Ovis aries: one gene and its partners. The protein of the gene in region 3 interacts with the protein of the main gene of each other region in a biochemical or structural test. Links are inferred from orthologs where the notes say so. Each region holds a gene or a part of one and is shown on either strand. Other genes may lie near its edges. The genes, in order: MAP3K1, MAP3K14 and IKBKB.

Region 1 (10,350 bases), on a different chromosome or scaffold from region 3:
CAAAGCTTCCACCTTTAACTACTGTCCTGAGAGGTCAATCATTCCTCAGAAAGCTAAGGAAGCACTACTGTTTTCACTGCAGAGATACAGTGTGAAATGCTGTGGGTGAGATTCAGAGCACTAATCCTTAATCTAGGTGCTCCTCTCTATTCCCATGTCTCTCACAACACTTAACATGGTAGTGTGAAACCTCTTCATAATACAATCTGCCAGCAGAAACAGAGGCTGTGCACTGATGACATTTTTCTCTACCACCCAGAAAATCACCTCGCAGAGATTCATAAAAGTTGGATGAATGAAATCTAAAACAAGTACAAACGGAGAGGATCTGACTCTACTGGAACAGTTTCCATGTGTGATGATTAAAATGAATGTGTGATATTATATTAGCTTCTTTATTTCCTTCTACTTATAAACCACACAAATCAAGAAACCTAAGAAACACTCAACACTCACCAACCGTTCTCCTTGACTAACACAATGAAACGATCTAAGTACAAATCATTTGTTCTCCCTGCCTAACATGATGAGGTGATCTAAGCACAGTTTACCTGTATTACATGTATGAGGCCAGGTTACAAACATCATGCTTTATGGACACATCAGGAGACAAACGTATTGGCAATGGCACTGGGTAGAAACCTATCATTCTCACATTGACTCTTGAAGGACAACTTCCTCCTTCAAATCATTAATCTGGCCATTAATTTGTAAAAGAAAGTGGAGACAGCAGAGAGGGATGGAAAGAAATGGACTGTGCAGTGAGATCGTCATGGACTGGAAGCCTAGCCTATTTTCCAGTCGTGTGATCATGGGGCTTTAGCATCACACATGAGTTTCTACCTCTTGAAAACAGAAAATTACAACACTCTGGAAGGCTGCAGACATGATGAAATGAGCTAATATATAACTTGCCTGACACACAGAAGGCAAGAAAAGTGACTATATAAAAGTACTTCTACTTGATCGATGAACATGTTTACTAACCACAGCAAAAATCCTCTTATTCTCTTGCAAGAACACCCAACTAGCAGTTAGCTTTGCAGTGAGGATTTCTAAATAACATTTACTTCAATTCTGTTTCTGATTATTTCTTTTGCGTTTCAAAATGTTCTTAAATTATTTCTTAAAAACAACTTGGGTTGATTCTTAATAGTGCATATTTCCTCACATTAATCTTTTTTACCCATTTACATTTTAAAGTAACTAATTTTCAGCTTAGATTATAAACAGAGGCCAGGACTGAAGAAAACAACCAAGTCTAAGGAATATACCTGGTACATCTGATATAGCAAGGCATTTCAAGGTTAGAAGTGCAAAATACTGCAGCTCTTAAGGAGCCTCTGGAGACTAATGCTTCTCCATGCCACATTCTCCTATTGCCTTCCTCAAAGAAAAATAACCCTCAACCCAAGAAATCTGGATACAAAATGCAAAAGTTGTGCCTTCTTACTCAGAGAACTTCTGAATGCCCCATGTTTTCCCTCAGGGGAATCCATTCCCTATTAACTGCCCCAGCCACTCCAGCATTTCTTCTGGAATGCTCCCAGCAACTGTCAAGGGCTGATCAGCAGACAGCCTAGGCAAGCTGTAGCTGGTTCTTTTGCTCTTGTTGAAAGCAAAGAACGCTCCTTTCATTCCATATTTTGAAATCTTCCAAGTCAGTAAGTCAGCAACCATTTCTAAAATGTGCAACATATGCTTGAGGTAGTATAGGAGATGTGAAAAAGAGTATCAATGAACAGAGCTACTTCCTGTTTTTTTTTAATCTAGCAAAATAGAGTTATTATAGCATATTGGAAATAATGTATTAAGGAATGTTGGTTAACCAGTCACTCATGCCAGAATCAGATATGAAAAGAAAACTAAAGTTGGCAACAATTCTAGTTCTAATATTTCCCTTTCAGAATTATATTTAATAATCTTTGAAGAATGCATTCATTTTCTTACCTGATTCAAAATAAAACTTGGAGACAATTCCTAACTACAAAACTTACAAATTCATGGAAGACTAACTTATGTAACTACTTCTGTCATTTTATAAAACCACCAATTTTTAAAAAAAAAACTTATTTGGGGGCAATAATTTTCCTACACCTCCTTTAGTAAAGTCACTGAATTATATTTTTAGTCCAGAAGCTTCTAAAAGGAAGTGAAAGCTGAGGGCTATATGAGGATATAAAAGCAGCCTATGAAACAGCTTCAGTTTTAAGGAAAAACTAACATTAACAAGCACAGCATATCTTGTTCTTTCATGGGGCCAGCAAATTGATAGTTAGGTTTTTTTTTTTTTTTAAGTTACAAAAATAGGATGGAGTAATTATATCTACCAAACTCACAATAGCCTGTTCAATGGAGAGTAACACTGTAATTTCTCTTCAAAGACAGTAAATAGGAAGAAAAAGCCCCTAATTCTGTATTAGAAGGAAAAATCCCAAACCCTTGGGCGCCACTTACAGGCAAGAAACTTTCACTGATTTCAGTTACCAACCTGAAAAAGAGGGGTGGACTTAAAATCTTCTATTTTTAATATCAATATTATTTATATTACTTACACTACAAAATTGTATTTTCCACAATTTCAATTTCTACACCCAAAGTTCAAAAACTGGAGGAATTATGAAATTTAAAAACTTTAGGAATTCTCTTTAAAAAAATATGACAGGTCTTAAAGATGTACAGTACTACTGAAACATAAAAATATTTCAAAATCTTGATGTTAGATGATCCTTCTAAAGTATGAATGTAACTATTATCCAAAAACTAAAGTTCAATTGCAATTTTCCTCCTTACAGTCAAAGTGCTTATACCAACGGTCTCAAATGAATTTCAACCCCATGAACAAGGAAATATGGAAAAAACTCACTATTTCAAAAGTAGAGAAAATAAATATTTTACTATAAATGAAATGTTTATGTATAACATTTGGGATGAACAAACAGCATTCTGGCCAGCGAAATTCATTTTAAAAAATGATTTTGCCGATTAGTCTATTATTTCATATACTGTGCAATTATAATCCACCCTTTCAGAAAAGGGGAGGGGGAAAACTAGGTTATAAAATGCAAAAATTAAACATGGATTACTCACTCCCTGAATTCTATCTGCTTTCACTTTCGTCCTCTTATTTTGTGTGGAGACAACACTAAACATCTATACATTAATTTTACAGTGGTTCCTCTTCTATTATATTCATAGCTCGTTAAGATGCCTAGAATGCTGAGGCTTGCTAAATTATTTACTGCATCCAAAAACTTGGTATCATGGGAATAAGACAAAATTCACCTCTCAAATTCAGGGTTTAATATCTTTAACTGGACCTCACTTGTAGTAACAATCGCCTACAACGAATCATTCCAGTCAAGTTCTAATGCAATTTGCAAAGAAGCAGTAGTGTAGAGAGAGAAACATAACCCTTGTAAGACTAAGCTACATGTACAAGTGCACACAGAAAACCAGCACAGTCACAAGTCCCTGTTCCTCTCAACATGGCACACTGCTGACCACATTTTTAGGGTCCCCTCCCCCGAGAGGTGGGGAAAGAGAGGGGCCAACTTCTAAGTAGCAATCAACAAACTGCGGTTTTAAACATAGAATCAAGTTGCCCCCAAAAGTGCCAAATCACCAGATAATTAACGAAAGCCAATGATTCCTACTGTCAAATTCGTTTCACAAGGGAAACCACTACAAGGCAGTCTCTAAAACATTCAGAATAAAGGTCAGGAAGCCCTACAGGGAAACGGGTGACTATCACAACATTTCCAGCAACTCAAAATACCCCTCAAACCTGTGCTCTGCATACACTAGTTAGATTTTAAAGCAAACAAAAACAAGGACTATGGCTGTCACATTTAAAATAATTTCCTTAAACACAAATTTCTAGTTGCCAAAAAAGAGCCAGGCCAGGAACAGCTGGCCTGAGTTACCTTGCACATACCGTAACGCGCAGGCAGCCCAGGGCCCCGGAGCACACCGCACTGGGTCCCCTGGAATCCCGAGGCGGCCCGCGCAGCTGCAGGGAGCAGGAAGCACCGCACCCGCGCCGCGGTCCCCAACCACTCCGGAGAGGCTGCGGGGAGTAGGCACTACCGCTTTGCAACTGAATGGCTGACACATCCGGTCCTGGCTCTTACACCACTCCGCCAAATGCAAACTTCAAAGGCCAAATTCAAACTCCAAACAGAAGTCACTCAAGTCTCCGTGCTGCGGTCTGTATTCCCCAGGACACTAGGAGTCCCTTGGGGGACGCGATTAGAAAACTCTCCGTCCTAATACCCCGCAAGCCCCCGAGAGCTTGCAGCCCGTCACCCTGCACCGCTTTGACAGGCGTTACGGAGCCGTCCACCCGGAACCCCCTGCGGCCGCGCTCGGGGCGCGCCGCCTCCGTTCCGGCCCGGCCTCCGGTACCTGCCTGGAAGCTCTGCCTGTCACCGCCCCGGGGACCCCACCGCTTTCTGCGCCGCCGCCCTCCGGCCCTCCAACCCGGTCTCGGGCAGGGCTGCCCACCTGCTTCGCCCACCTACACTGCCCGCCCGCAGGCTCAGGCCTCACCCCCGCGCGCCCCGGGACTCAGGTCCGGGGTCGCCGCCGCCGCACTGCTGCTCGCCTCTTCCAGCCTGACCCGGAGGGCAGCGCCAGGGTCCCGTTCCGGGGCTCCTCGGAGAGCCCCGATTCCAGGAGCCCCACAAAGCCAGCCCGGCCCCCCACACCTTATCTCAACTAGTCCAAGCAGCGCGGCTCGCACGCCTGTCACATGTCTGCAAACAATAACAAACTCTCCAGCACGTCCCCGCCCCGGGCCCCCGTCCGGTCCCCCAGGCCAGGTCCGGGGCGCCGCCCGAAGCTGGAAGGGTCAAAGAGGGTGCCCGAGAGCTCGGGTCCCGGATAGCCGCGCGCAGCCTTGCTTTGCGGAGCCCCGGGACGTCCTGCGCGATGCCGGGGTTCATTCATTGCAATAGCCCGCCCGCCCCCCAAGTCCCCGCCGCTCCCCGGCCGCGCTGCTTACCCGGCCGGGGCCGCCGCAGTCGGCTCGGCGGCGGGCGTCCGCTTCTCCCCCGGCTCGGCCCCCGCGGGGCTCTGGGCGCCGCTGTCCGGTGCGGCCGCCGGCTCGGCAGGGTGGGCGCCACCGCGGCTCGCGGCTCCGTGGGGCGGCGGCACCGCCACAGGATGGAAACCGCTCCCGCCCGCCGCCGCGTCCGGGGGCTCCGGCGACGGGGAAGTGGAGGAGGACGGCGGCGAGGCGGCGAGGAAAAGCGGCTGCTCGGGCAGCTGGTCCAGCTCCACACTCCGCACTTTGCGCAGCTGCCGCCGCCTCCAGTCCGCCCGCTCACGGCCCCCACTGCCCGCCTCCCGCAGCAGCCCCGCGGCTGCCGCGGGCGCGCTGCTCGCCTTGAGGGCCCCTCTGCCGCCGCCCGCTTCGGGGCTCGCCGCCCCGGCGCCCGGGAATCCCGAGGACGAGGCGCGATTCCCCGCCGCCGCCGCCATTTTCTCTCGCGGGCTACATTCGCTCGGCCCCTGCGAGGGAGGGAGGGGGCGGGGAGAGTGCAGGGGGCGGGGGGCGGGCTCTGCGCCTCTAGCGTAGGGCTGGCTACGCCAACTGCGTGAGCGCGGCCCTTCGGGCGCCCGGCCGGGACTGACGGACGGGCGGGCGCGCTGGGTTCAGTGGGGGGAGGACGGCGGGCCGCAGGTTTCGGTGGGGAGCGGACTCTTAGCTCAGCCCCGCACGCGGGCAGCCGAGGTGGCCGCTGCGGGGGCGCGCTGGGGTTCGCGCGCCTCACCCGCCGCGCCGCCAGGTAGTCCCGGGCTGCACCGGCGAGAGGAGGAGCCTCGGTGGCAGAGCTCCGCTTCCTCTCCGCCGCAATCTCGGCCCGGCTCGGCCGGCGCTCGCCCTAAGGGAATTGCAATTCGAGCTTTGATGGACGGTGCGTTGAAGGGGGCGCAAGCCAGAGGGCCTGCAGTCTGTCATTCGCGTGCCCGTTGCAGTGGGCGTCGGGGAACCCGGGCGCGGACCTACCTACCCTCGCCCCCGCCTCCACTCCGCGCGGGACGCGCAGGTGGCGCCCGGGACGGTCGCCTGCTGCAAAGCAAGAGAAACCCAATGTTCAGCTGACGTGATGCCGCGGACCCAGAACCCAAGTTTATATATAAAAAAAGCTTTCCTCATCTTCTGCCCACCCCCAGATCGTGCTACAAATAAAACAGAAGTTTCTGGAATATCGTGTTCAAAACCTGAAATCACAGGTTTGGGACACCCTCTTCACCCACTGTTCCGCCCCCAGCTAGAGGGAGACCGAAAGGACCGGGCAGCGGGGTCGGGGGGGTGGGGTGGGTGGTCGAGGTGAATCGTTATAAATTTTTTTTCCTCCGCTGTCTTTGGGAAAGGCAGATAACGCAGGACCACAGCATGTTTGGGGAAGGAACCAGGAAGTGCTGGCTGCTGTCATCCTCCGCCAGGTTCTGACCCTCCCCGAGCCCTATGCCTCTGGCTGCACGTCCCTCTTCCCCGCAGGGTCGGGCTGCCTGTCGGGTTCCCTCCGCCCCCACCCCCGCGGAGCCCGAGCTACCCAGCGCGGCGTCACGAACCCTGCTAGTCCCTGAGGGCGTCTGGCGATAAGGTGCTTTGGAATGGAAAAAGCACCATTTACATGTTAATGATTTTAGACCTTTCTTCTGGCTTCCCTGTCGCGTTTACTTCTCCCCTCCCTTCTTTTCCTCCAGCCGGTGTGTCAGTGCTGAGAAATCTCCCTCAAGCCCGGAACCGAGTCCCTAGATTTACTTTGTGAAACAGGAATTAAGGCGGGGGTAGGGTGGGGGAGTGTCGTGGAGAGAGAGAGCTGCTCAGGAAGAGAAAGGAGAGCGCTAACTTGTCGGTATTCATACATTTAGACAAAAGTCTAAACTGTCTACAAAATAATTCCTTTGATTTCTTGGAAACAGATAAAATGAAAACCTCTTTCTTGGCTATAAATGGTAACTGAGGAGGATGGTGATATCCGAGCGATTTTTAAAGCGGATTCAGATTTCATATTAGCTCCGTGTTAACTGCTACGAAGTCTGCCATAAGCTAGTTTTAGTTACATCCAACGGTACAAATTTTGAAACTTTAGATAAATCTGTTAAAATTTGAAGTCTACAGTTAGGCTATGATTATACAGTCTTTTAATGGTAGCCAAGTGTATCATCCAAAGCAAACAGTAGTTATTTCCTAGGTCTTCCCGGATTGTTACACCCACTAAAACCTACGTTGGGAAGGATAAACTTGTTTCTTTCTTATTTAGGTTAGAAAACCTTTAAAGTTGCACACATGTACTTAGTTAACTGTAAATGAGAAAAGTTAGCAGATGCCTTCAGCTTTTCAAAATTGTTCCAATTTTGAAGTTTGGCCAGAGTAGCAAAACAGAACGGGATCCAGTAAAACATTTACTTTAGCCTCGTCATTTGTGCACAGTGATGAAAACGAGACCAAGTGAGAAGAGCACAGTGCTCTCAACTAGCCCCCGTCTCGCCTCCATCCATCAAGACCTCAAGTGCTGGTCTTTCACCTGGTTTTTGGTGCTTTGAGTCATTTCCCCCTTTAATCTTTTATGTATATATTCAAGTTGTCATTATGCACCTTGCCCTGACGAACTTATTTTTTAAGGAAGAATGATAAAGGATGTGCTTGACTGAAAAGGGTGTTCTTCCTCCATCATATGTTGATATAAAGTCTTCTTTGAAGAAAATTTAACCTGTGGAATTGCTACCATAATTTTTTGCTTCTTAAAATTCTGTCTCTAGTTTGGTGCTGCTGGGTCCTGCTTTATATTACTGCATAAAGGCATATGTCAAATTGCCTTAATTTGATTTCTTTAATGACATAAAGGAGACTTGTGACTCTTCCAAGTTTGCTTGTACACTGAAAATTCCAGTTCCTATTTCCAACCTCTTTATTTCTATTCTCTCTCAGACACAAATGTTGCAGTAATTTCATTTATGCTATGACAGCTTTGGTAACCTTTACCTCAATATTTTACAGATCACTGCTTCCACATAGTGCTTCTGGGAATCACCTAAGTCATACTTCAGTTCCTGAATCTCAGTCATTTGGAGGATCCAGTTTAATACTAGTACATTTCCTTCTTATGCATAAACATCACTGATTTAGAATGAACAGATTTAATAGGGACTGGCAGAAATATTGCAGTCTGTGTAGCATTCATCTTCTATTTCTTAAATACCTATTATGCACACACAAGAAATTTTCTTCTCTTGAGATATTGTTTGTTGTTTTTCATATTTATAAAAGTAAACAAAACAATCCATTTGCAAATATTTTTATTAGTGGGTATTTATCAAGTTGACTCTGCTAGAATTTCAGATCCATCCGTGTGTGGGGTTTCACTCCTGTGTTTGTGAGATCTATGTCTTAGGTAGACATAAAGAGTAAGAAGATAACCTTGAGAATAGAGTAAAAGCTGGTATCCTATCCGAGTTATAAATATTAATATGGAATACTTGCAGGAGAGTTGGGGCGAGAACTTGGTTTCTCTGTGCTCTTTCCAGACACCATGCTTCCAACTGTTTCCAGATATCCTAAGTTGGGAAATCTTGTCATTTATGGGACAGTTGACCTTTTGCAAGTACACTGTAGGTGACATTATAGTAGAAAGCTTCTTCACCAACCTCCACTTGCTGACTCATCTAGTAACAGATACCCGTCACTCCTGGTGTGGTGTGCAGCAGGCAGAGGGGTGCTGCAGCGTAATGAACGCTCATGACAGCTGCACACTTCTGCTCCCATCAGGTGAGTTACAGACCCCAGCGAATCCATCATATTTGTTTCCAAATCTGACTATAGCTGCTGTAACTGTCCTTATGGAATTTAATTAAGTCCTATTAAACATGACTATGCAAGTGCAAAACAAAAAGTTATTCCGATGAAAACTAAGTTAAATGCTTTCAAAGAATGAGTGAAATCGAGACACAGAAAAGAATGTCTGTCGAATCAGTTGCGGATATGAGGATTGTGAAAGAGTAGAGAAAAAAGCATTCAAATCTGTAAGAACTTGGTATATGTCTCTCAGCTTTCACTTTGCTTGAAAGAAAATAAGAGTGAAAACAGTAGACCATGAGAGATGTGAGACAGCCTCTGGATAGTGGACCCATACTCAAAAGACCAAGGCCCTCCACCCAAATACTGGTTAAAACCCCAGACTAGACAAGGCAAAACCCTGTTGCTTATGTTTTCAGCTAAAGGGAAATAGTTTATACTATATATACGTGTGACATTCCTTTTTATTAACTAGCCATCTAAATACTTTGCTTATATTTGCAAGTATTTAAAATCAGAAACTAAATTTTTGTAGTGAATAATGAAAGCCAGCTGAATCGGGATTTTATATTTAAAAATACAACTGCAACCAATGAAATCTGATTTATCTCACAGTCAGCCAAGTTCTACTTACCTTTACAACTCTGAATGATTCTTTGAATTCTGTTGAACCCCGTTAGTTGCTCTTTTTTGGTGTATAAAGCGATATTCTTTTTCTGTTGGTTTTATGGCTTAGTCATTACTATCATTTTTGCAAAAAAAAAAATTTGAAGACTTCATACATTTCTCCAAGGTCCCCCTGTAATATTCAATTTCTTTCTCTGAATCAGTGTCCTTGTTGGTTTTCTCTTCTTTTGTGGTCCACTGGTCCAACTCTGCTAAATCCTATGCTGACAAGACTTACACATGATCTAGGAAGTTTAGTATCACTTCTAGTGGTTTAGTCAACTTCTTCATCTTTTGCAACATTTGTGCCTTCATTTTGTAATTGATTTGCATTGTTTTGGAGTCAAAACTGCTAAAGAGGTATACAAAAGTGATATCCACTAGAGCAGTGCCATCTGATAAAATGTAATGCAAGCTGCAAATGCAAGGCTCATATGTAATTTTAAATTTCCTAGTAGCCACATTTGAAAAACTAAAAAGAAGCAAGTGAAATTGATTTCAGTAATATAGTTTATACAGTATATCCAAAATACTACTTTTTCAGTATGTAATCAATATATAAAATATTACTAATGAGATTTTGTCATTATTTTTTTACTACATCTTTGAAATCCAGTGTGTTTTTTACTCTTCAGAACATATCGAACGTCATTTGAGTCACATTTCAGATGCTCAAAAGGCACATGTAGACAGTGACCAGTGTTATCAGACAGCACAGCCCTAGAGCCGTTATACCTAAGACTCAGGAGTTTTATGGACCATTAAATGTCCGGTTAGGCCTCCAACTCTTTAGTGGTTCCATATTACAGAATATAGAGTGCAGATTCCAGATTTCTTTTTTCATTCATTGTGTATAATTACAAATATATACATTT
Region 2 (10,189 bases), on a different chromosome or scaffold from region 3:
GCAATCGTGGCCCCTGGGCTCTAGAGCGCAGGCCCAATAGTTGTGGCACACAGGCTTAGTTGCCATATGGGATCTTCCCAAATCAGGGATTGAACCCATGTCTCCTGCATTGGCAGGTGGATTCTTTACCACGGAGCCACTAGGGAAGCCCAGCAGCTCTTTCTTGACAGAGAGGTTCAGGCCTAAGGTCACTTAGCCACGCCCACCCAAAGTGACTGCTGGCTAGTCTAGATGGAAGAGGTGTGGGCAGGGGGCTGGAGAGGAGCCTGCGATGGATAAATGAAACAAGATAACACTAGCTCTTCCCCTGTGGTTTCAATAAAGTCAAGCCCACCTGGACACTGAGAGGTCTCTGACCTTCAGCAATAAGTTCAACACCAACTGTATTGGTCCAGGACAGAGAGTCTGAAACAAACCCTGTGCCTTGAAGGATACCTGGTCATGGCTTTAGTGCTAAGAGGGTCGGCAGAAAGGCCGGCAACCAGAAACTGTGTGGAAGAGATGGCTCAGGAGTCTCCTTTGCAGCATCTTTCTGAATCCAAACACTGGTGTGGCAGGCTCAGAATTCGCAAGTTTCCTGAAAGCCAAGGTCCAATCCAGCCTTTCTGATCCCTGGAGCTCTTCAGAGCCTCCAACTCAGGTGGTAAAAAGGAAAGCAGGTAGAAAAGGGTTCCCCGAAAGGCCTTTCACACCAAAGTTGTGGTTTGTATCTTTCTGCTTTTTGCCAAGGGGTTTCCCAGCTCCCTGGAGCCAAAGCTCTCCTCTGGCTTCTTTGTTGACTGTCATTGGAAATGGGCCATTTTCCACCCTCAAGGTGGTTGGGCTCAAGAGCGTGGTGACACTGCTGATCTGGGCTCTCTGCCGGGTCCACATGACCCCCTGCTGGAGGAGCCATTTTTCTGTTGTTTGGCAAGCCCTGGGAGCCCCTAGCTGGCTTCCTTATCCCCCCTGCCTCCAAAGCCCCTGGACTGAAATGAACATGAGCTTTGGCAGACAGCTTCTCCACAAGGTCTGCTCAAGACTTCCTGTGACTGAGCTGGGGAATAAATCGCATGTCACCTACACCCCTGCAAGTGTGACTCACCTTCCAGAGAAAGTGCTCTGCTCACCTAAGCAAAGCTGCCTGGAAAATGACTAAGGCACCTATCAAATGCAGTCTGTGGGGCCAACCAGTTGCCGACCTGGGCTCAGACACACTCTGCCTCTCACCTCCAGTCTGAAGTCAAGTGTGGAGTTGCCACTCCGGGCCTGCTGGTTTCATTTTCATCTGAACTGTTAGCTCCACACGAGGCTTGACATCCGGTGATCTATTTTTTCTAAAAACTAGGTTCACTTTAGAAATGACTCTCTGGCCATGAAGACAGCTTCCCCAAGAGAAAACAAGATGTTATTTAAAGGGGACATCAGCCTGGTGGGAGCTTGCATTTTTGTTTTCTATTAAGAGAGGGGGGAGAAAAATAATTTAAAATGTAATGTGAAACTGTTTTTTTTGCTTTTTTTTCCCTTGGGTGATTTAAAGGGAAATCTGAGAGTTGCTGACTGTGGATCAAGGGCCCCCAGACCAGTGAAAAGATGACAAAGGGCAGGGTGCCACACGGTGGTGGGAACCTTGCCCCACAGGACCCAGGCTTCCCTTTTACTCTCCCAGAGAGGAACAAGTGTTTGTTGACTTATATTCTACACAGTATTTTCCTTTTTTCCCCTCCACAGTTAAGGCTGGCACCCACTTCACTGCATGAGGGACACAGGAGGGCCCCAGAAAGGCACAGCTGTACCTTCCTCTGGGTGGTGGCCGAGGGTGCCCCAGGTTTAGGCTTGCCAGCTCTGAGCAGGCAGAGCTGGAGCCTTGTTAGGTTCCTTTGGAGGGTGATGAGGGCAGAATTTAGTGTAAGACAGGGAGAACATGACAGCTAAAACCTCCAGACAGAAGACATGTCCCACTCGTGGTTCTGCTGAGAAAATGACAGGCCCTGTCAGGCAGCCTGACCCTTCCTGACATCATCTTACAGAAAACAGGTCTAGTCAAAGTGGTAATTGCCAACTACCAGTACTGCGATTACCACTACAACCACCAGCCACATTTACAGCCATTGTGTCTTCTGGCTTATTCCGTGCTGAGCTCAGCACTTTATATATATTCTCTCATTTTCTACTCAAAACAACACCACGAAATGTTTACAGATGGGGCACCGGACGCTTAGAGAAGTGAACTGATTTGCCTGGTGTCACACAGGCAGACGGTGGCAGACCTGGACCCGACCTGGCTCTCTCTCTGACCCGGCAGCCTAACCCCCCACACAGGGCACAAAGATGCCGTGGACTGGCTCTCCTGTTCTGGGCGAGTTGCTTGACCCCTTTGCTTTACTTTCTGCATCTGTAAAATAGGGATAAGCAGGCTTGACCAGAGGATGTGCTCTTTATCTTTCAGACTTTTAGTAATAATTATTATGGATAACAAGTATCGACTCTTAATTACTTGATAACACTTCTGATAACACTTCTTGATAATCCTTGTGAACGTAAATAGAAAAATAAAGCAGCTACCCTGGTTTAGTTATATTCAAAATGGACATGTTTTGGAAACAAAAAAATTCCCAACTTATCCTTTTATACGTAAGTTAGTAGAAAAAGCATTGAACTAGATGTCAAGAAATGTGGGTTTAGATTCTGGACATGACACTGATTCCCTGAGTAATCTCATCCACTTGATCTCTCCTTACTAGGCTTCATGTTCCTGATCTTGGTCCCTGCCTTCCTTTGTTGGAATACTGTGAGAAAACACAGAGAATGGCCATGAGGTATCATTATTCTCAATGTCATATAATCTCAAGGGATTCATACCAGTAGGATAAGAGATTAAAACATACAAAATAGCAAGAAGAGAAGGGGATCTTTTTACTGAAATACAGTTGATTTACAATGTTGTGTTAATTTTTAGTATATAGCAAAGTGATACAGTTTTATATATACATATATGTATTTTTCCCATTATCATTTATTATAGGATATTAAATATAGCCCCCTGTGCTGTACAGTAGGACCTTGTTGTTTATCCAATCTGTATGTAAGAGTCTGTAACTGATGGTCCCAAACTCCCAATCTACATGTCCACCCCCACCTCTGCCTTGGCCACCACGAGAAGGGGAGCCTTTAAACTAGAATACAGTGAAGGGCACACAGGGCACTGAGGAAAAGTGAGTCTTCTCTGCACGGTCCCTCAAGTAGTTAAGACAAGGCTAGAACTGAAGACCCCAAAGCCAACAGATGTTCAGTGCCTCGCTCAGCTCGACTGAAATGCTCTACTACTCCATCTGCCCTATGTTTGGCCTTCCATTTCTAATCGACTGCTTTCAACATTTCAGTCAGCACCACCCAGCAAATGCAGAGCGTTCACACGTGCATCAATTTAAAAGCTCACCTACCCCTTGAAGGTGCTCAACTCCTACTACTTGCCCTGCCCAGGGATCTCAGTGTGTGGAGGCTAGGGGGAGCAGGCTTATCCTTAAAGCTTCCCAAATCCACTGACAGGGAACTGTTCCCCCCTCCACCACCACTTTCACACTGGTGTCTTCCAAAGTGCCCATAAGGCTCAGATGTTTCCAGTTTAACTGAAATACTAAAATGGGGCAAACAGGAAGCATCAGATACAACTGCGGTAGTGACTTATTAATCATGAAAGCAGAATTTTAGTTGCATTTTAACCTTTTGCCAGGAAAAAAAAAAAAAAAAACAGTTCTCAGATGATGGAAGCCATTGATAGAAAGAGGCTCTCTATGTGTGTATCAAGCTAACTTACACTTTTAATTCAGGGCCGAACTTGGTTTAAGATTTCTTAACTACCCTCCCAGAAAGACCATCTGTTAGGTCAACCAACATGAATCTCTCAGCTCTTCATCAAGGGAGGCAGGCCGGTTAGGAAAGCTCATGTGCTGTCCCTTGAGACAGGAAAAAAAATAGGAAGCTAAAGTGACGTCGCAGGCCAAAGTGATCGGACACCCTTAAGAGGGTGCCAACAACGAGGAGAACAGCCCTGGGTCAGTCTTTACCCATCTCCCATCTCTGCAGATCTCACACCAGACCCTGGCCAGGAAGAACCGTTACCACGCACCAAACAAAAACCACAACAGTTGCCTGGAGTTGGACAACCAATCAGGGCAAGCCCGCTTCTCAACATTCAGTGATACACAAACACTCCAAGCAGATCACAATGGAGTCAGTGTTCAATAGGAGAAACAAAATGAGGAACCAAACCTCCGTCTGTGGAGGCGAAATGGCCAACCAGACATTTTTGTTTAATAGATGAGGGTTCATTTGGCAGGGTCTCTGTCTGTGGTACCGCTTGCTCCCACAAACTCTAACAGACAGCACCAGGGGCGAAAAACCCCCTTTCAGAACTACTCCTTATAACCTGAAAACAGTCAGAAGGGGACTGAAGCTTGGTGGCTTACTGCTGTCTGGTCTCACAAAAGAGCTGGAACACATACCTGGGTATAGATTTCTAAAATTAAAGTCAGAGATGAGTACTTTTATTTTGAGGCCTTCTGAGAAGTTCACTGCCACACCCTTCAAAATAAAAGAGGATGTCCTCCAGGCATCTGAAAATCTCAGAGGTCTGGCATCACTGCACCAAAGGAACGGACTTTGACATCACTTAAAAAACACCAAGAGTAAATCCAAACACTTTGTAAGTGAGACAAGCACCTGTTCTCTCATGTTAAGAGCATAAATACCACACCAAATATTTCTCCCCATGTCCTGCATCCAAGTTCCATAACGTGGTTCTGCTTTAGGGAAAGGAGCTGGGGAAAGATTCCAGTGGCCCAGATTAAAGTCGTCACCCTGAGTCTCAGCTGTGAGGCATTGGGCAAGAGCCATTTACCCGCCTCCAGTCCCTGCCAAACACACACCTGCTTCAGGTGCCTCACCTCTAAAACAGGACAATATTATTTATCTTATCACACACAAATCTGAAGGAAAAGGGTTACAGGTATGAAGACACTAAGTAAAAAAAAAAAACATCACTAATGTTAAGATACTATCTCTTTCTAATCTTTCAGAAAGACTATGTTTCTAGTCAAGGGGTTTTCAACATTTATTCCTGGAATAAACTTCAGAAGGCTATTTTGTATCAGATCCCACCTCTCACCATATAACTTCACTTGCTTTTTGAGTTCATCATCAAGGGACAGGGTTCATTGTCCTCCAGTTAAAACAATTTATATCACAGATTTCTGTCTCTTTTCTCTACTCATTCCCTAGTCCACCCTTTAGGACTGAGAGCCACATCCTAACTTCAGTTAGGAAACAAACTGCTTTTCCTGAAGTTACCCGGCACAGAGGAGGTTCCTGGGCAAATGGGGCTCTTTACACGGGGCCTCCTTCTGCCTGGTGCCTCTGGCTGCAGGCTGCCAGGACCATGATGGACTTCCAAGATGGGATATTTTATCTGAGCCGACAGAGGAAGTCCTGAGTGGAGTGGAAAGAATTATCGAGGAGTCAGGGAGAGAAAGGATGCTGCGACCAGCCAGCACTGCCCCGCTGGGTGCTAATCGGAGGCTCCATCTCTTCTCCCAGGCTCGGGGTGTGACCCCGAGAACTTCCCAGGAAAGACCTGAGGGTTTCACTGCCTGGACAGGTGGGAGGACGCAGGGACCCGGCGCGCTGGGGCGTTCGGCACCTTAAGCCCAGTGCCGAGGTAAGCCCTCCTTCTGGAGAACATCCAGGGAACCGAGCAGGACGGGCAGGCCTGGGCGGTGGAGCAGCCTGGCGCGGGGAAACGGGGGTGTCCGGGAAAGGGAAGGAAGGGGCCCTTGCGCGCGCTTCGGGGGAGCGTGTGGCCTGCGGGTGTGCAGGGTGAGGCCGGCGTGCGACCGTGGCCCTGGCGGCGTGAGGGAGGGCGCACCGGCGGCCAGCTGCCACAGCCGAGGACCGGCGCGAGTGGGTCCCCGGGCCGCGCCGCCGACCCCACCATTCCGATGCGGCGGGCCAGGCCGCAGCCCGGCCCCGGGTTGAGGAGTGACCCGTCCTCTCTGCCCCTCGCCCCGGGACTCGCTCTAGTCACCTACCGGCCGAGCGCCGATCTCCCCCACCAGCGAGTGTCGCGCTCGCCTCGCCCTCGATCTCCCGCCGCCTGTCGCGGACCGCTGCTCTCTGGGCCCACGGTCGCCCCGCCCCACCCCGGACCCCGCCCCTTCACCGCCTTCCCGGCCGCCCCCGGGGCCACGCCTCCACCCGCGGCAGCAAATTTGCCTCGCTTCGCGCCTCCTTGCTTTGGCAGCGCCTAGCTTCTGGCCCCGCCCACTCCCCAATCTTCCAATGAGACGGCGCGTCTCAGCCAGTTCCTTCCTACCGCCCCAAGCAACGATTGGTTAACGAGGCCCTGTTTCCAGAAATGGGCACTATTTCCGGACAGTGTTTATAGCAAAGAGATGGCTGGGCCGACGGATTGACAGAAGGCGGAGGCGGTCGGGGTGTTGGTGGAACCACACATGCGCGCTCGGCTTCTGGCAGTCTTACTGGTTGCGTTCCTCTGGAGGTTACGGGAAGGAAGGGCCAGTGTGCGCATGCATGGGCACTCCCCAGCCTAAGACCTGGTTACCTAGGAGACCGCGAAGCGCCGTCTCCCCAGGTTTTGGTTGTGTTTCTTCTTTGCTCCAAGCCTTGGCGGCTGAGGCAGGTGTGTTGGCAGTTGGGGGGAGAGGGGCAGGGCGGGGCGGGGCTGTGTATTTAGAAACATTTTATTAAGCACTTACTGTGAACCTGGCGCTGTAGCGTCTCTGAGGCTTAAATAGTGCCTGCCTTCGAGAAGCTTGCGGAGTTAAAGGCTTATACAGGTTACACCTGTGTGTTGAAACCCTTGTCTGGTGAGAGCGTGCGGCTGGCGTGGTGCAATCCCGTCCCACAGTCAGAGAAGTAACCTGGTGTGAGCGCTGCGTGAAGCATCTCCTCGCTGGGTTTATGGAGCCAGAAAGAAGACTAGAGCTTTACCTATGTATAAAAAGGACTTGGAGTACGAATATGCACCAAGGTGTCACCAGTGCTTCTCTGAATGGGGATGGGGCAGCGAAGGGGTTGGGGAGTTGGTTTAGGGAGGTGTGACTATTTTTTCTTTTCTAACTTTTGCTTTTCCAAATTTTCTAGTGTTTCCACAGTGAGCTTGTTTTTTATTTATAATAAAGAAAAAAATTCCACACTTAAAAAGTAGTTTGCAAAATAAAAGATACGCCGGTACCTGGGCACTCCACCCCCATCAGTGGTCTAGGGCAGGCAAGTGAGGTAAGCGGCTCTAGTGGTAGAGGTAAGCAGGCCCCATTCAAGGCCGTCTGGAGAAATAAGGATTACCCCATCTCTGGAAGCCTTGGAGCAAAGACCTGCTCAGGTTTTGTTTTTTAGTCTGTACCACGCAGCATGGGGTCTCTTAGTTACTTGACCAGGGGTCAAACCCATGCCCCCTGCATTGGAAATGCGGAGTCTTAAGCATGGGGGTGTCAGAGAAGTCGCAGGACCACTTTTTGGACAGTCGTTCATAGCTTGATGTATGTTTCTGGAGATCTGCCTCTAGCAGACATCTTGGTTGAGGGGAATAGGAAAGACCATTCATTCAGGCAGAAAACTTAACCTCAGGGCCTCATCCACTCACTCAGGCCATAGATTAGTTTTGTTTGGCTGGTGCAATGTTTTCTTAAAATTGAATTTGCATGCCTTAGAGCAGAGCCTGGAGTTCCTCACAGCACACCCCCACCTCCCTCCCCCAGTCTTGCTCTCAACCACTTAACCTATGTCATCTGCCTGGCTACTGAGACATTCGGGGTTATGGTCCCAATAGAGCCCATGCTTCGGAGTTGGATAGTCTCCGTTGCATAAACTGGCTCTGCTACTGACTGGTGTGGGAAATGATGGGTAAAGAAGAAGCTGGGGGCCCCTTAAAGCTGCTTCCAACCCCAGGGTTTTCATTTAAGTGAGTCAGGGAGAGGCAGAGCTTGGCCAGATGGTTGCTATCAGCAAGCCTGGATGCAGAGCTTGCCTCTTCCACCACCTGTTTGCCTCTGGGCATATTGCTTCTCAGGAAAGACATGGGCACAGGGCCAGAGTTTGCACACATTCCCTGACCCGCCTTAGCCTTCTGCCTCTTGCACTGTTCCTTCTTTATGACACCCAGTGCCCATGTACTTTACCCAGCTTCCCTTGACGCTTCTCTGGGTCAGTGGGATGCCCTCACCCCAGCCCTGCACACACCCCCCACCCCCCACCCCCTGCAATCAAGATGATCTACCTTTAAATCTATCCAGAAGCTTTCGAAAACTCAGCAGTGGCAAAAAGCTGGACACGACTGAACAACAACAGCAAAATCTATCCACTAACACTAATGTGTATTAGTGGGAATGAGTGAATGTCTTGATCCAGAGTTGCAACTTCCAAGAAGGAATTTCACATTAGGTTGCAGGAGAGGAGCGAGCCTCTACAGGCTAGTGAGGGAGAGATTTGGGGCAAGCGGGGCCTCGTGGTTTTTTCAGCTAGTTTCCTCAGGCCTTTCCAAGATCCACTGTGTGTGGGCTGAGGTAAGAGGCAGCATAACATCCACTCTGAGCTCCACAGAGACTCCAGGCCTTGAAATGCTGGCATCTTTTGGAAGGAGTGCTTCAGGGTAAAATGACTTCCTTCCAGCCCAGCCAGCTAAGTCATGACAACCTGGGAAGGTTTCTAGCCCCGAGTCACTTGTGCAGTCTCAGCTCTGCCCGAAATAAAATAAACTGGTATTTGTGGGGTGACTCACACCTGGAGCAGTGAGCTGGGTTCTCAGCAGTCAAGGATTTCCACATCTCACCTCCATGTTTCAAGTCTGGAAATGGAAGGGCAAGACTGCTTTTCCAAGACGAATAACAGCTTCTGTTTTATGAGAGCTTACAGAAAATAAATCAGCTATTTATAAGTGCTTTAAAAAACCTAAAAAAAATTTTTTTGTTTTTATTGAGCCAGAGATCTTTAGCTGCAGCGTGTGGAATCTAGTCCTCTGACCAGGGATTGAACCCTGGGCCCCTTGCATTAGGAATGTGTAGTCTTAGCCACCGGAGAAGGCAATGGCACCCCACTCCAGTACTCTTGCCTGGAAAATCCCATGAACGGAGGAGCCAGGTAGGCTGCAGTCCATGGGGCCGCTAGGAGTCGGACACGACTGAGTGACTTCACTTTCACTTTTCACTTTCATACATTGGAGAAGGAAATGGCAACCCACTCCAGTGTTCTTGCCTGGAGAATCCCAGGGACGGGGGAGCCTGGTGGGCTGCCGTCTATGGGGTCGCACAGAGTTGGACATGACTGAAGCGACTTAGCAGCAGCAGCAGTTTAGCCACTGGGCCACCAGGGAAGTCCCTCTAAATGCTTTGTATGCATAATCACCTTGCTAAATATTCACTTCTGTCCAGGGTTTCCCAATCTGGCACTGCTGACATTTTGGATTGGATAATTCTTTGTTGTTGGGGGGGGCATCATATATATTATAAGATTTTTAATAGCTTTTCTGGGAACTTCCCCAGAGGGCCAGTGGTTAAGAATCCACCAGGTGGACTCAGGTTTGATCCCTGGCCAGGGAACTAAGATCCCACATGCTGCGGGGCAACTAAGCCTGCATGACACAAATAGAGGTATGCTTGCATCAACTACTGAGCCCTAGCGCCATAGCTAGAGAGCCCATGCACCTCAATGAAGACCCAGTGCAGTTAAAATAAAAATAGATAAAAAATAAAAAGGGAGATTATATCCCGTGTTTAAAAAAAGAAAAAAGCTCTTCTGGCCTCTGCCCACTTGATGCCAGTAACACCACCCTCCTACACCCAGTTGTGACAACAAAAAATGTCTTCAGGCATTGACAAATGTCCCAAAGACAGCAAAATTACCCCCAGTTGAGAACCCTTAACTTCATAGAATAGGTTATTGTTATTACCACCCCCACTTCACAGATGAACAAACTGAGGCTCAGAGAACAGTAACACTCAAGTAATAGAAGATCTGGCTTTCAAATCATATGCGACCCAGAGCTTCTGCTCTCCTGCATGCGGGACTCTACAAAGACACCGTGGGCTTTAAGAAGTAAATTGCCCAATCATTTCTGTAGAAGAGTGATGAAGACTGAGTGATTTTTGTGCATCAGGGAGAGAGTGCCATTCTTGAATCATTTCTCCATTTCTGTTTG
Region 3 (9,702 bases):
GTCTGGTGGCAGTTTTCCCTGGGAAACTGGGGACACGGAGGAGCTTACTCTTCACTGTATTGTTCTATTGTACCTTTTGGTATCTTGTGCATATATTAATTACTAACGTACAAAGACAATTTCACAAATAAAATGGTTTTGCGATTCAAGGTCAACAGCCTGTGGGCCATCTTCTCTGTCCCGTTTAGATGAGGCTGAAATTAACTGAAGATGCCCTGTCCTGCCTCTGGTGGGGCTGCTTCTCACATGTACGACTGAAGACGGCTGTCTGAGGACCGGGTGGACTCGCCTGCTTGGGGGGACCCCTCTCTTGGGCCAGGGCTCTCCCCCGAGCTTTGTCCCAAGAGCTATAAGGGATCATTTTTTAAAAAGAATAGGCCGTGCTTACGGATGCAGCTGACACTTTCAGGCTGGGGCTGTGGGGAGACCTGGCTTTCATAGGTGACCCTGCTGTTGTCAAAGAGGAAAACGAGGTCCATGTCCAGCGTTCGGCCCTCGTTCAGCTGCAAAGGGACCAGAGGCAAAATGAGGTCTTGCGGCCCCCACCCCACCGTCCCCCAAGAAACAGGAGACTACAGAGCATGCTCGGCCAGGACGTGCCAGGTGCCCACCAGGCCTCTCCCAGCGCTCTGGCCTCTACTGCCCTTGGCTGTTCCCTTTACACTTATGACCTGACGCACACCTCATCTACAGCACAGTACATTCTGCTCTATCCTGTCTTTACCGTGTCACTCAGATGCCTGCCATCTCCTTTATGGTCCAATGCCTCTTCCCCTGTGTTAAATTTGCGGCTAATTTTGTGCAATGGTCAGCACGGTACCGCACATGACGGGGTCAAAAACAGTTTCCGTTGATGTGGAAGAATGAAGCATCGCTTTGGCAGCAAAAGCAAAAGGCACTCCCAGTGGTCTGGAAGGTACAGTGCGGGGCGATTCGTGTCCCCTACCAAGTCCGCGGGATCTTGCGTTCCTACCTTGTAATGGGCGGCCGCCTGGCGCCCGCAGGAGGCCGGGCTCACCTTGCCATCGGAGAGGCACTGGGCGGCGGGCTTGTCGGGGATCAGGGCCAGCCCCGCCTCCTGCAGCAGCTCCTGGTCCTCCTCGAGGATGCCTGTGTCCTGGCGGATGCGGGCCTTCAGGCTCTGCAGGCTCTCGTCCTCGGTCACGGGGTAGGTGTGCAGGGTGCCCGTGACCATGTTCAGGACATGAAGCAGCTGCAAAAACCCGGGGGGTCACGGGAGGCACGGCTCGACGGGGACGCCTGCCTGCTGGCCCGGCTTCTCGGAGGCCCCGCCCGGGGTCCGCCCCCCGGAGTCTTTCCCCTCCCATGCGTCCCTGGAGACAACCTCACAACCCATCAGTCAGCAAGGGTCCCATCACACCCTCACAGGGGTCAGGGGGCCCATGGCCTGGGGCGGACTGGGTGCAGGCTCACCTTCAAGTTCAAGATGTCGTCCAGGGCCTTGAAGCAGCCATTGGGCCCGTAGACGGGGTCGGTGCCCCTCTGGCGCGGGTGCCACATCAGCATTAGCTGCAGCCACTTCTCCAGCCGCTGGGCCAGGACGCTGAGGGGGAGGGGGAGAGTGTGTGCACGTGTGGGCGCATGTGCGCGAGGCCCAGCGCCAGCTTCCCATCCCACGTGTGTGCGTGCGCGAGGCCCAGCGCCAGCTTCCCATCCCACGTGTGTGCGTGCGCGAGGCCCAGCGCCAGCTTCCCATCCCACGTGTGTGTGTGCGCGAGCCCCAGCGCCAGCTTCCTGCCCGACGTGTGTGCGTGCATGTGCGTGTGCGAGGCCCAGCACCAGCTTCCCATCCCACGTGTGTGCGCACCCACGCACGTGCACGAGGCCCAGCACCAGATTCCCGCCAGACGTGTGTATGTACGTGTGTACGTGCAAGGCCCAGCACCAGCTTCCCATCCCACGTGTGTGCGTGCATTTGCGTGAGGCCCAGCACCAGCTTCCCGGTGCACGTGGGTACTGAAAAACTCGCACGCTTCTCCCGCCCCACGTGACCATCGCGGTTCGGGGCCAAAGTGATCCCTGAGGCTTAACCACCCTGAGGAAGGGTGAGCCTTCCCTTAACAAGATGAATTGCTCGGGGGCTCGACCCCTGCCCCCCGACTCCCCGGATCTGCACAAACACCCTCCCGGCGGGGGCCTCTGGGCAGAGGGCCATGCGAGACCCTCCAGGCAGCTTTCCAGGCACTGAGCAGCCCCCTTCCCCAGCAGGAGCACTGCCCGACGATCTCGCCCCACACCACCAGTTCGATCCACGTTGTCAGTCACTTCCTGGGAAGTGTCTGAGGGGTCCACACCGCACTGCCGGGCGCCCCCAGCACCCATCCCTGCCCTCCAACAGAAGTCCTCCAGAGGCCAACATCGCTACCCGCTGCCTCTCCCTGGCCGCCCCCAAGTCTTTTCCCCTTGAAGAGCCTTCCTCTTCATCAACCTGCCCTGCCTATCAGTCCAGATCCTTCCAGGAAGTTCCAGCTCAGCTCCTCCACAGGGGACCCCATCCCCGTCCTCCAAAGACTCATGGAAACTGAGCCGTGCGCCTTGGCGTTGGGCTGCTAGCTGCTGTCTCCTGAACCATCTCCCAGTTCTGTTAAGATGACCTGATGGCTCATATTCTGGCTCTGAGACCAGACTGCTATGCTGTTCAAAATGCAAAGGTTTATTTGTTGGCAAAAACACAGTGCCAGGCTAAAGAAGGACAGGCAAAGAGCATAAGGGGCAATTCCCTACTCTTCAGAGGTTTACGGCTGACCAGGAGCTAAGCCCTCTGCCAGACCAAACGCCTGCAAGGCAGAGCCACCACGGGTGAGGAGGGCGACAAGTGTGCTGGGAACCGAGGAGGTGACTCCAGACGGGTGGGGTGGGGACGGTGTGCTAAGACCGAGATGGACGACGGCAGGACCAGGGTCAGAGCTGCCGCGGACGTCAGCCCCGACCCCCATCTTTAGAAAGGAAGGGCCGGCCGCAGAGGTGGAGGAGGAGAGGCCGGGGACGTACCTGTTGAGGTTGTTGGGGTGAGGCAGCGAGCTGGAGAACTTCACGGCCCCGTTCAGGTCCTCGCTCACCACGATGTCCATCTCGCTCTTCTGCCGGACTTTGGAGTGCCTGTGGACGTGGGGGGACTGTCGCGCTGTGTGTAGTGACCCTGATGTCAGCGGGCGTCCAACAGCCCCTTACACGGGTGACTTTCCACTTGACAACCAGACAGGATCCCCCAGGGGTCTACTGAACCACTTGTGAGGCCCAGCAACCCGCTGGGAAGCTTCTTTGGGAGGTTAAGGGCGTCGGTACTGCCCGGTGAGAGTCAGGAACCCGCGGGCTTGTACCGCTGTCTCCTGACCTCACCCCGGCCCATCCGGCTTGTTCTTTTACTTTCCATCTAACACAGAGAATGAAGACAGGACGTCTGCACCACGGTCCCTTCATGTACCACCTGCACACACCACGCACTTCCCTCTAAATGCAATGGCTATGCCTGACTTCTGAAGGCAAGTGAAGTGCTAACGTTTTCCAACTAGGAGACCCTTTAGACGTATCTGAAATAGTGTTTAAGGAAAAAAGATTTTAAACTGGCCTCACATATTCTCAGCGACAAGGGTGATGACAGGAGTCTGAACAACGCTTCGCAGAGAATCAAGCGCTGACAGTGAATGCACCCTTCTCTACCCGAGACCTCTGTGGGGTAGGCAGTTTTCAGCCCCCCATCCCCCACCCTCACCAGGTGAGGAAATGGCCTGCCCGAAGTCACACCACTAGAGAAAGACGGAACCAGGGGCTTGGAGCCAGGCCCAGCCGCTCCTGCTACTCTGTCTGAATGTCCGCATCCTTCCTTTCCAGAAAGACGTTAGAGATTCAGATGGAAAATGCTTTAGCCTGAAGCCTCATTGGCAGGGGGGGTAAACTGACCCACGTGGAGCACACGGAGCCTGAAGAGCCAGGGTGTGGCTCGAACCTGCCAGCCGGAAGCCACACTGTCATCACACGCGGTGGGATGGTGCTCTACAGAAACTCAGGTCTGTCCACGGGAAATTACACGGATAAATGAAAGGACACAGTGAGTGAAACGCTTACTGCTTAGGCTGGTCCTAAAATGTATTTTCAAGACTGGTCCTTCAAAGCAGCTTTATGATAGGATAATAAAGCTCAAATTGCATTTGTTCTGAAATTACTATCTATCTGCCGTTTGAGACGAGAGTGAAATTGTTGACGTTGCCTAAGGCATTACAGGCAGACCAGACAGGCACGTCTCACAGACTCTCGGGTTTCAGAGATGCGTGCTTGGAAGTGGTCACCTGGCCTCCCAGCAACGTGAGGGAGGCTGGCTCTGCAGACAGCAGGGCCATCAGGGATGGTTTCAAATGGCATTTCCTCTAGTTCTGATGGATTCTGATTCACCTTGCTATAAATAATGGAAACGCTCAACATTTGAACAGAACTGCAGTCATCCCTTGGCAAGTTAAAAACACGACGCGTGTACAGTTTGAAGCGGTCTGATTGTTAACGCAAGGAGCTAAGTCAGCGCGGCGGAGCCCAGCTCAGGGCGCTGCTTGTGCTACCGTAAGTCTCCACGGGAGGGCGCCCTCCGCCACGTCACCAGGCCCCTCGGGCACGGAGACCGAGCCTGGTTCATCCTTTCCTGTGTCTGGTGTGTAAACAGTGACCGAACTGGACTGCGTCACAGAAAGCTACTCTTCTTGAACGGATTTCAAAGACTACGTCTTGGTCTCACAAATAAACATTCTCATGATGTCAGTACCTGTGTCCTTTGAGAGAGCCTGTGTTTTTGGTACTTCCAGGAAGATACTGAGAAACGTGACATCAGCCAGAGCTGCCCCACAAAGGGGGCAGGGGGAGAGGACCTTTGCATGTTCCTGCTGGAGATGCTATTTATACAACCTTTCTGTGGAGCACGTTGTTAGTACAAACCAAAACCCTTGAACATGTGCACGATCTGGTAGGTTGATCCCATTTCTAGGAACTTATCCCAGGGAAATAACTGTGGATGGACCGGGATTTCCCGGAGCTGTTTTAGTTAAGTGTGAAAGGCAGGTTCTATGAGAGTACATATGGTAACCCACTTTGTTTTTTGAACAAACACAGACACACAGAAGAAGAGTCTGGAGACGGAGGAATGTTAGCGGCGGCGGGAGGAAATTCTCAGTGTAAAACCCTGGAGGAGCACTCACAGGGCGGCGTGCCTGCGACGTCATCACCGAGCTGAGAAGGGGTGAAATCCACCAAAGAGCCAGCGGGCAGATACATGCCCGCTCACTTGTGGGTGTACAAAACATCCCCGAGGTGGACCCAAAGCCAACAGTGCCAGGCGTCTGTGGGTCGGGGGGAACCAAGCAGGTGGCGAGGGATGACCTTTCCCTCTTCTGCTTTCTAAAGGATGAATCCCGTGAACTTAGAGCTGCTCCAAACACTAAGACTGGAGGTAAAGAATTCTGGACAATGGCACTATTGCTTCAGTTAGCGTGTGGTCCCTCAAGGAATCACTGTGAATGAACCCTAATTGGTTCAAGGGAACACTAACTTTTAAATGATGCGTTTCAGTAATGATTAACTTTTATGTATATAATGAACCACATATTAGTATTACAATTAGAAGAAAAGTTTAAAAATACAGAGTAGTTTTTAAAACCTTGATCATATTCCTTATTAGAAAGTATCTTTTCGGCAGTGTACTTGGTTCACTGTCTGATGCTTTTAAAACCAAATTTCATAGTTTCTGGTCTTATGTTTAGAACTTTAATCCACTTTGAGTTTATTTTTGTGTATGGTATTGGAAAGTGTTCTGGTTTCATTCTTTTATCAATACAGTATATTAACACATATATATGGAATTTACAACGATGGTAACAATGATTCTATTTGCAAAGCAGCGAAAGAAACACAGATATCAAGAACAGACCATTGGACTACGTGGGAGAAGGCGAGGGTGGGATGATATGAGAGAACAGCCCTGAAGCGGGTATACCACCATATATAAAAAAAAAAAAAAAAACTATACTGAGGCGCAGTAAGATTTGTCAGCAATAAACTTTCACATACATACGTCTCATTATTTGTCATGTGAACATTCCTTTTGTTTACCACCACACACACACACACACACACACACACACACTCTGTAAACACACTGGCTTCCTGCCCTGCGCAGAGCAGTCATTTACACGGACTGGATTTAAGGCTGTTAAGGTTCAGAATCCAGGGCTCTTGGAGCTCAGGCTGTGCTCACGCCGGGTCCCCACAGGACTTCCTCGGGGTGACAGGTCACAGGGGTCTCAGGCCTGGCCTGGGGCACCCCACGAGACCGGGAAGGTGAGGTGCTGTCTGGCAAAGGCGGGGGACACCCTCCCGGGGGGCGGGCCCACGGCTCACTCACCACTGCACTGGCTGCCAGTTGGGCAGGAATGGCCGGAAGCCAGTGATGCACTCGAAGGCCAAGGTGCCGAAGCTCCAGTAGTCCACCGTCACCGTGTACTTCTGCTGCTCCAGCAGCTCGGGGGCCTGTGAGGTGGGGGGCACGCTCGAGCTGAGCCGTAGAGGGGCTGTCACGGCGGGGGCGCCCGGGCCTGCCCCATACTCCCCGGACCCCGCACTGAGAGGCCACCATGGCGGGGGCGCCCGGGCCTGCCCCACGCTCCCCGGACCCTGCGCTGAGGGCCACCATGTTGAGGGCACCTGGCATCCGGGCCTGCACACGCTCCCCGGACCCCACGCTGAGGGAGGAGGTGGCCACGAATCAGGCAGTGGAACCTAGACTCTCTGATCTCATCCCATCCCGGGGCTGAAACAAGGGCCTGCGGCAGGGGCGAGGGGGGGCTGAGGTGTGCTGTGCACCCTTCTCCCAGGCACCGTGCAGGACCACAGGGGAAGTGATCCAGGCCACACACACCCAGGCATAGTGTATGCAACGAATGCCGGCCAGCCCCCTAACGAGGTCCACGGTCCCTGATGGGACAGAATGTCACAGTCGAGCAGGAAAGGCCAGCTCCCCAAGCAGTCAACCTGGGGTGACAGGAAGCTTCCCAGCACAGGTGGGGTGTGGCCGGCTCGGGATGCCCGAGAGCAGACGTGCCAGAAAGGACCCTGAGGAGCGGAGGTGCGCAGGCAGGACACGAAGGACCACAAGCCAAGATGAAACGTGTGGGACGATCAGGTCGGCCTCTGTGTCTGGTTCTGGACAGAAGTTCTGGCCCCGCAAATCATCAGAGCTTGGGCCCTGCATTCATTGCCACTGAGCCAACAAGGGGTCCAGAGGACACAGGGCAGGACCCCCAGGACCTACTCCGTGGGCAAAGGTGCTGAGTCACAGCCCCAGGTCCCCACCCTGAAACCTCTACCCCCCCAGAGCAGGGGATAAAAGGACCACGTCCACTGCCCAGCGGGGGTTAATGGGAAGTGTGGACGCGCTCACAAGGACCTCAGTGACTGCTTTTTCTCTTTTTTATGTAAGACCCAGGTAGCCTGTTTAAGCCCATGGAGCCCAGTGGCTTTCAACTTTCTTTCCTTTTTCTTTTATGAACTGCAGACTCCGTTATTCAGCCTACATTTCCTGGTCATCATTTGCATGCAATCTATCACTAAGTCCTGCTGAGCCTGTTCCAGGCCTTGTGTTTTTTGTTGTTGTTATTTGTTTGCTTGTGGTTTTTTTGCCACACTGCGTGGCTTGTGGGATCTTAGTTCCCTGACCAGGTATCAAACTCTGGCCCTTGGTGGTAAAAGTGCGGAGTCCTAAGCTCCCTGTAGAGGCCCCTCTCTCAGGCACTTCTTGAGCCGTCCTCCACATCCTGATGGCTGCCCACCAGCTCAGACTAGCCCACCCCAACGGCCGCTATACCACTCGCCCACTGCCTGCAACTCACCCTCCACATTGTGCCAAGTGTGGTCTCTTCCAAAGGTAAACCTGGTTCCTCTCACGCCTAAGACCCTTCACAGTCCCTCCAGAGGTTTCAGGATCAAGTCTGGAGTCTCTAACGCAACCAGAGAGGCTCTGAATGACCTGTCCCCCACCTTCCTCTCCAGCCTCAACCCGAGATGGCCTCCTCCTTCTCTGGTTCCGGCCATGCCTCCCGGGTGCCTCCTGCTGCCCCACCGCCTGGAACTCCCTCTTCGCCCCCAAGTCCCTGGACGTGCAGGCAGCACCAGGCCCTCCTAGCATGTCGCCACGCCCCATGCTCTCTCTCCCTTAGCAGTCCTTATCATCCCTCCAATCGCTTCACTATCTGTGTATCAGGGCCATGTCCGCCTTCCTCCTAAACTCTAAAACAACACTCGCAGCATGTCTGCAGGAAGAGAGGAAGAGCTTCCAGGAAAGATAGGTTTGGGAAGCACTGGGTTCCAAGCGAAGTGGCTTTCTTAGTATAAGAAAGAAATATATTTAAGTGCGAGTTTGATGTATGAAGCAGGGCACCCAGAGCCAGCGCCCTGGGACAACCTGGAAGGATGGGGTGGGGAGGCAGGCAGGTGGGCGGGGGACTCAGGATGCGGGGGACACGTGTATGCCTGTGGCTGATTCATACTGATGTGCGGCAAAAACCATCACACTACTGTACAGCAATTATCCTCCAATTAAAATGGATAAATAATTTTTTAAAAACCCTTAAATATATGCATGTGCAGTGTGGCACCCCCGCCCCTCAAAAAAAATAAAACATAAAAAGGAAAAACTACAGGTGATCAGTATTTCTTGGATGAATTGGGGACTCAAATAGAGCCACAATATTTAGACCAAATAAGAAGAAGAAAGGGTGGGAGCTGGAAGCCAGCCCTCTCCTCGTAGCCCCTGAGATGCAGTGTGGGAACGGAGGCCCCTTTGGAGTAGCAGGAACCTGGTTTACACTCTCTGGGCTGAAACACGGCAGCATAGCAGGTCACAGGACATGCACGGGCCCAGGAGCAGAGCCCTTTAGACACAAGAGGATGACCGCGCCCTTCCACAGGGCCTCTGGGAGGATGAGGAGTCTGACCTCACACACCAGTGTGTTTCCTGTGCATCCAGGAATCATCCAGAGAGCCGGCAAGCTCAGCCAGCAGAAGGTGAGGAAAGAAGCAGAGCCCTGCGGCCATGGCCTCCCGAGAGAGGCTGACGCGCAGACCCAGGAACCCCGCCTCTTACCAGGTACTGCAGGGTCCCCACGAAGGACGTGCAGAGGCTGCCCTGGTCCAGCTCCTTGGCATATCCCAGGTCAATAATTTTGTGTATTAACTAGAAGAAAAAGCAGGGAGGGAGAGACATCTGAGGACTATGCGAGTCCGCTGTCCTTCAAGAGTCTTGAGCACCTCTGCTGGCGCAGAGGGTGTATTTCTGAATTCCCAGTGCTAAGACCCTAAGCTCCTAAGGACTGCCGAATAGGCAGGAGAACGCCTTAGATGCAGTAGGTTCAGGCAAAAGAAACAACGTAAAAACGCCAGGCGCCTGTCCTCCCTTGCCTGGCAAGCACCTGCTGGAGGAAGGTCAGAATTGGGAGACCACGCACCGGCCGTCGGGACTGCGAACCCCAGACTTGCCGTGACTCGGAGGACCAGGCGCGGTTCCTTCTCAGTAAACACTTTAAATTCTCCAACCTCCAATGGACTGCCGGGAATGAGTGTGAACAGGGACAGAGGTGAGGGCCAGGACGGGCGTGGGTTACGCTGACGGAAGCCACGGGGGAGAGATCAGACAGCCCACGGCTGAGC

The links.
Region 1: of the proteins of IKBKB (region 3) and MAP3K1, one has a biochemical effect on the other in vitro, tested with the Homo sapiens proteins (3 studies listed by BioGRID and IntAct). The link is inferred for Ovis aries from reciprocal best matches to the Homo sapiens genes IKBKB and MAP3K1.
Region 2: of the proteins of IKBKB (region 3) and MAP3K14, one has a biochemical effect on the other in vitro, tested with the Homo sapiens proteins (3 studies listed by BioGRID and IntAct, with this or other methods). The link is inferred for Ovis aries from reciprocal best matches to the Homo sapiens genes IKBKB and MAP3K14.

What each region holds. Positions count from the first base shown.
Region 1 is NC_056069.1:22,592,922-22,603,271, forward strand, and holds the start of MAP3K1 (mitogen-activated protein kinase kinase kinase 1), read right to left. Parts: upstream 5,510-10,350; 5' UTR 5,485-5,509; coding exon 5,006-5,484; intron 4,741-5,005; exon of another isoform or gene 4,552-4,740; intron 4,334-4,551; exon of another isoform or gene 4,117-4,333; coding exon of another isoform or gene 3,938-4,116; intron 1-3,937. UniProt on the Homo sapiens protein: Component of a protein kinase signal transduction cascade. Activates the ERK and JNK kinase pathways by phosphorylation of MAP2K1 and MAP2K4. May phosphorylate the MAPK8/JNK1 kinase.
Region 2 is NC_056064.1:44,685,306-44,695,494, forward strand, and holds the start of MAP3K14 (mitogen-activated protein kinase kinase kinase 14), read right to left. Parts: upstream 6,153-10,189; 5' UTR 6,066-6,152; intron 1-6,065.
Region 3 is NC_056079.1:36,485,859-36,495,560, reverse strand, and holds part of IKBKB (inhibitor of nuclear factor kappa-B kinase subunit beta), read right to left. Parts: intron 9,230-9,702; coding exon 9,140-9,229; intron 6,529-9,139; coding exon 6,404-6,528; intron 3,121-6,403; coding exon 3,013-3,120; intron 1,565-3,012; coding exon 1,435-1,564; intron 1,214-1,434; coding exon 974-1,213; intron 504-973; coding exon 389-503; intron 1-388.